2 linked regions of the Bombyx mori genome follow. The protein of the gene in region 1 purifies or fractionates together with the protein of each later gene. This does not show direct contact. Links are inferred from orthologs where the notes say so. Each region holds a gene or a part of one and is shown in the gene's direction. Other genes may lie near its edges.

Region 1 (3,062 bases):
GATCGAAAACGCGACCCACTGAGAAGATCCCGCGAGAAACTCAGTGGGCATGGTACTGCAGGGAAGGTTTCTATCGTAGTGCCATCAACACACGAGAGGTGATGCGCGTGTATCTTCTAGTAATCTAAATTTATTATACAATTAGTGTTTGTTGCAAAAAAAAAATATGTCTACGTATACTTTGTATCTACCGCCACCTGTATCACCATCCCTCCTGTTTATGCCGCAAACCGGTTATAGAATAGAATTAACACTTCCACCTAAATATACCTGTGTTTATTATATGAGATCAAAGTTCCTTGTCCTTGTACTTTATTGGAAGTGGTTTGGGGGAATTACTTTTTACGTATTTTTTTTATGTTAACAGCACCAATTTACATTTTCTTAAAAGTTCGAATAGCTATTTATAAGAAAAATAAAACAGCGGAGCGTTTGCTAGAATAAACTACGAAATTTAATTAGCAAATCAGACATTGCCTCTAAAGAATACGTAGACTTTATAAACGTAACGTAAGTTAGTTATAAATTATTTTGCAATAAGCAGGTGCACAATAAATAAATAAAATATTTTTTTTTTCAATTCGACGAACGATTAAGAAATTTGATACTTTAAATAAATAAAAATGAAAGTTTCCAAATTTAAAAAAACAAGAGATATTTTTTTGTAATATTGTAAACTGTTATACAATAATTGCTAATCACTCACTTGATAGTCCAACCGGTCGGCGTGTTGTTCGGACGCACGTTGTGTCTCTAGTGGGGCTTTCGATTGCGCACTTTCACGTGTTACATCATTGGGCCTTGGCTCTCTTTTAACCAAAACGTAAGGTGGATGTGGCCACAGACGGACGATGTCTTATAGTGCAACAATAATAAATCGTCCTTAGGAATCTAATTAAGTCATCGATTGCTCACTTTGTAATGACGTCGTTTTTGATGGACGATGACTCAAACCTTAACAGGGTGTCATTACTCCCAGAAGAAAAGGTGATCTGACTAGTATCGTTGTAAATTTCTGCTATCATTTAAATAATAATAGTCTCTGAATAACATCGCCGTGATATAGAAGCTCGGAGACAAACGAGTGAAAAAAAAAAAGAGTAAGAAAGGCTCATTTTAGGACGGAAAATCAGCAGTGCCTTATATATCTATAGGCGTGCAATTTCTATTAGTCTTAAAATAGGTATCCCAGAACGTAAGCTATATATCCTAAGTGAATACTCTTTAGGCATTTTAAAAAAAAACTTGGTACCGCTTATGACAATTATTGCTGATATTGACAACAAGTCAAAAGATCCGTTCGGGCATTATTAAATTATCTTTCCTGCGTTTTCTGAATACACTTTTTGCGATGGAGACATTTTGCTTTTAAGCTGATTGTTGATTATAAAAAAATGAATGTTCTAAATAATGCGCGTGCAATTTGTCCTAATCTTTGGACCGGGCTGTGCTGTCAGAATTTAACTTGTATAAAAACTGTACGGGAGGTGCGACGAAAACGAGCGTCTGTCAATAAAAGCGATGCACCTCTAACGAGATTTTGTAGAAACAATCTTGAGCAAATACCGAGTCTGAGTATGTGGGTACAAGTGCGATACCACAAAGAATGTCCTCGTCTTCACCGCGATATCGAATTCCCAAACTTTAATCCGTACAGGAAAGATCAATACAAGGATGTGAGAAAGACAAGATGGGGTGCGGGCGACGAGAAGTCCGGAGTGACCTACACGATTGGCTTCTTCGGATTGCTCTGTGGATCGTATGCTGTAAAATCCGAGCTAGTACATTTCATTTCTTACATGGCCGCAGCCGCTGACGTGTTAGCTATGGCATCGATAGAAGTAGATCTGACCAAAATCACACCCGGGGCTTGTGTCTCATACAAATGGCGTGGAAAACCGCTTTTCATTAAGCGTAGAACTCAAGCAGACATCGATATTGAGGCAAAGACTCCATTGTCGGTTCTACGCGATCCAGAGACCCCGGAACAACGTACTACGATCCCGGAGTGGCTAATAGTGATTGGAATTTGTACTCATTTGGGATGTGTGCCGATCGCAAATGCTGGTGACTATCCGGGAGGTTTTTACTGTCCCTGCCACGGTAGTCATTACGATAACGTCGGTAGAGCTCGCAAAGGACCCGCGCCTTTGAATTTAGAGGTTCCCCCTTATAAGTTTGTTAGTGACTCTCTAGTAATTGTAGGATAAACTAGTCAACAAATACTTCTCTTGAAATTATAAATAAATTTTAAATTCAGATATATAAGTCCTCATAATTAATTCGACACCACACTGTCAATTTTGTTTTTATTTTTATTAAATTTTACATTATTATAGTAAAATATTTGAAACTGATTAACATAATATATTATTAAATTGAATCTCGAAAAATTATAGTGCCTCCCCGCTTCACCCCTTGGGGTAAAAGCCGACTTAGAGATTCTCCAAAGAACAAGCGTTCTTCGAGTATGATAACAGTATACTGCGATCGTCAACCATCGTGCTAAGCATGGCGACTATGGCTTTTTAAAGATTAATAAATAGTATTATGACAAATCTATGCCTTCATGTATCATTCATCCGATTAAATCGCAAATTTGAAGGCAAAATATTAAGTTATTGCGGTATACTTAAAAGGCTGCAAAAGTTGTCAAATATTTAGCTACGTATTTGCTCGTTCGCTTATATATATTTATCGCAGTAATATTCTTTAAGTAGCCTAACAAAAGTAACTTAGTTTTCTTCAAAAAAATCAGTAGACGATACACGATATACAATTTAATAAAAAAAAATTGCTTTGATGTGCGGATAAGCCCACCTGGTGTTAAGTGGTTACTGGAGCCCATAGACATCTACAACGTAAATGCGCCACTCACCTTGAGATATAAGTTCTACGGTCTCAGTGTAGTTACAACGGCTGCCCCACCCTTCAAACCGAAACGCATTAATGCTTCACGACAGAAATAGGCAGGGCGGTGGTACCTACCCGTGCGGACTCACAAGAGGTGTTACCACCAGTGTAGTCAGAATTTTTTTTATATTGACTGTTTTATATGCATA
Region 2 (3,761 bases), on another chromosome or scaffold:
CCAACTACCTAGCATTTAGCATTGAGATTTAAATCTCATATCTCAAAGTGATGATAGCATTCATATACCTAGTTGTAGGCTTCAGTTACAGTCTATCTCTAAGTAAAAGATCTTACATCCACCAAAAGCATTAAAAAGATTTTAAGGTTCAATTTCATTGTAATTATTTTGACACTTACTATAAGTGGTCCCGAGCCCAATTGGAAACCAGCATATATGGAACCAAGTAAACCCACATAAATGTGGTTTGCTCCCATTTTCCTCACATGGCCAGGTACAAGTGGAATTATAAGGCCCACCGCTAAAAGATCCTAGAAAAATTTAACATATAAAATGAAAATGATATATCAAATAAAGACCAATGAGAGGCATATGGATGTTTTTAAGGACTATTGGACTTTTGTTAGAATAAATAAGCATTGGCATGCTACACCAAATAATTTCCTCATGTTCATTTAGTTGTCTCCCTGAGGCCCTGGATCCATCCATAGTAATATCCTCACCTCATGAAAATATTCCTAGTCAACCTTAAAATTCCTAGAAGGCCAACAACCATTCTGTATATTTTTACCATAAAGTAATCATGTTTTAGTTTAAGTATGTACTTTGAAAGCTGATCTTGTGTCAACACAAAAGATACCCCTATATGGTCTCAGTCTCAGATGATTTATGACGTGAAGTGGGCTGCAGTAACCACTTAGTATGAATTTCATACTATGAAATAGATGTAGGAGACCATGATCTCACCGAAAGAAAAACCCACAAAACATTACAACTTGTGAGTTTAACAACTATTTAATACTATACTATACTATATTTTAAAAGTGCAAAAACAGAAGGGGCAAGATTGTGCATGTCTGATGTAATTTTTTTTTCAAGTATCGAAAATGTGCAATAAAGACAAACCAAAAAAGAGATTGCTTGTAGTAAACAGATTTCAAAAGGCATGATTAATAGATTTTACACGGGCAGCAACATATACGACTGATTACATTTCGAGCCCATTAATTTATGATGACAACGCATCTAGTCAACTATGTACATATCTATCACAAATTCTATTGTTATTGGTCAACCGTCAAAGTATGATTTATTTTACTCGGTTATTCATTAGACCGGTAGAGGGAACCTAGTCCATACATACAAATCCTTTAAAACGATATCCGAACAATCTGTTAATTGAAAAGTGAAATTATTGTATTACCTGAGGTGAGATAAAATAAAATAACCTTTGTTATAAGAATAAGAATACAAATAATTCATAAGTGTGAAAGAATATAGCTAGATATGTTATCTCGAGTCTTCCAAAAGTATATTAAAATCTTGTCTTAAATCCAATATACTGAAAAAACTAGCTTTTTAGGCAGCGGCTTGGCTCTGGCCCTGGCATTGCTGACGTCCATGAGCGACGGTAACCACTCACCATCAGGTGGGCCGTATGTTCGTCTGCCTATACGGCAATAAAAAATATATATACTTACTTTTTTAAACCATTTCGTAATTCGTCTTAATTGGCCATTAGTATGGCCCATACTATTAAATAAAAAAATTTAATGGAATGGAAAAACTACAGCCGATGCCCGATACCGTATGGGCCCCATCTGTCGTGTATCCCTTGCTTAACTGACTAGGTAAAAGAAGAAAAAAAAAACGTTATGTAAACAAACAATAAAGAAAATTTAACTAAATAATAAATATTATACCAGGGGTTTAGTAAAGACTAAACTGAAAATGATGACAAGACGTTTGGTAAACATGTAATCATTAGTGATTCGTTTCTAATTTGTATTTTAAAATCGCCTTGTTTCACATGGATAACGTTTACTTTATTTGTAGGTTTTACAAAGCTTCAAGAAATTGCACAGAACTAGAATGAAAGTCTTCGAAGGCGACGAACGTGCTTTATTAGCGGCACGAATAAAAATAAATGAAGAATTTCGCAAAAACAAAAATGTTCAAAATGAAAACTCGATTAAAGCGGTACTTTGTGAATATAGCTTTATGTTAAACAACATTAAGTAATAATTAAATATTAGGTACTTGTAGTCGTAACTATCAAAGAAAAATATTCTATAAATCAGACGAATTTACTCTGCACTACCTTTGGTTGACGGGTAGAGAATGCCTTAGGCATTAAGAAGTGTAATAAATAAATAAATAAATAAATTATAATACAAATGGTAACAGATATGCACAATCTTTTAGAAGAGACAGTTGTATTTTTATAATTTTATTAACTGTGGCGTAACAGAAGGATAATAAACTTATTATTAATTTTCAGATGATTGCATTTGGAGAGGATATAGAAAGGGAATTAAGGACTCAAGTGATTCAAGCCCGAGAAATAAAACCAGGTGTTTATGGTAAGTACATACTTCTTATAGTTTAATATAAGTATGTATTATGTTTTATTATTTTAATTATGAACTTAAGCACATGTGTTGGGTAACAAATCAGTTCATTGTGTGTCTGGGTACAAACCACACTTAGCAATTATTTTATTAAAAGGAGAACAAGTACCCTTACTAGTACACAATAGTACGAAACATTAAAAAATTATCTCAGGAATAACTGAGACTAAAGTTCAGAAAATTATTTAAAAAAAATTATTGCTCAGTTAAGTGAATGATTAAGCAAATGTATAAATTTTGCAGGTTTCATTTTTTTCTATGTTATTCCCTCATTGTGGAAGTCATTCACAAACTAATGTTATACATTCCTCAAAACAGTTGATAAATTTTTAAGAGTTTGAACACCACTATAGTAACCATAATACACTGAACATCTTATGTTTTAAAGCACAACATTACATTAAACTGATATGGGCTTGCGATGAGCAAGTTCACAACATTTAACAAATTGAAAATCACAATCAAATTACAATTATTTTTCTCTGTAACTCGATAACAATCACAGAATAATTATATTTCCTGAAGTTCTGAGCCTTAGGAATGATTAAAGCTTTTCAGCTTTTTGCCTTTTTTGTTTATACCTATTTAATTAATTTTATAATTAAATTTTCAAAAATAATATCCAAATGGATAAAAATTTCAGAAGCAAGAATTACTGATGACACTGTGAAATTAGACAACATACCTTTCAATGATCATGCTATATTAGAAGATGGGACAGAAGCACCACGACCATGCTGTCAAGATAAAACCAAATAATAGATATATAAGGCTAGTTAAAACAATACAATCTTGAATAGAACAGCAAATGTAATGTAAAAAATAAAAATAAACAGAATGTGATACAAAATTATTTTCATTACGATTCCTATGTTTTTATTATATCGAGGGGTGATAGGCTGTTTGGTTTATGTGACATTTTTGCAACTTTGCAGAAGGGCCAATTAAAGTTTGTAATAGAAAAAAATAATTAAATATTCACCTATTTGAATGGGGTAAACTTAATTGAAATTCAATTAAAAACGTCGAATTGTTGTTGCTAATACCAAATCAACGAACCTTTAATGATTACAAAGATAAATGTCGCATGTTACGTGAAATGTCGCTTAAACCAAATAGCCTTTCACCACTATGTGAAACGCGGTAAACGGTATCTTTTACCGCTTCGATGTTGATCGAAGTTTCACCGTGATTTTGACACCCTTCAAAAAAGTCGGCCGTCGGATTAAGTATGTAGGTACACCTACATAAAAAGGATCGATGACAATTATTATTATTATTATTGACAATTCAATATTTTAAACAATTAGAGTCGTTATTTACTTTCTACAGTCAAACAACTTCAGTCAA

What was found. Proteins that work in one complex are often made in the same cells at the same time.
Region 2: the proteins of cytochrome b-c1 complex subunit Rieske, mitochondrial (region 1) and complex III assembly factor LYRM7 purify together in Homo sapiens (co-immunoprecipitation; 5 studies listed by BioGRID and IntAct, with this or other methods). This does not show direct contact. The link is inferred for Bombyx mori from reciprocal best matches to the Homo sapiens genes UQCRFS1 and LYRM7.

Annotation. Positions count from the first base shown.
Region 1 is NC_085107.1:12,018,517-12,021,578, forward strand, and holds cytochrome b-c1 complex subunit Rieske, mitochondrial, read left to right. Parts: upstream 1-1,394; coding exon 1,395-2,210; 3' UTR 2,211-2,562; downstream 2,563-3,062.
Region 2 is NC_085115.1:10,586,593-10,590,353, forward strand, and holds complex III assembly factor LYRM7, read left to right. Parts: upstream 1-1,390; 5' UTR 1,391-1,731; coding exon 1,732-1,749; exon of another isoform or gene 1,750-1,757; intron 1,758-1,836; coding exon 1,837-1,980; intron 1,981-2,281; coding exon 2,282-2,363; intron 2,364-3,054; coding exon 3,055-3,170; 3' UTR 3,171-3,261; downstream 3,262-3,761. Other genes in the region: major facilitator superfamily domain-containing protein 9, read right to left, coding at 180-311, 907-948.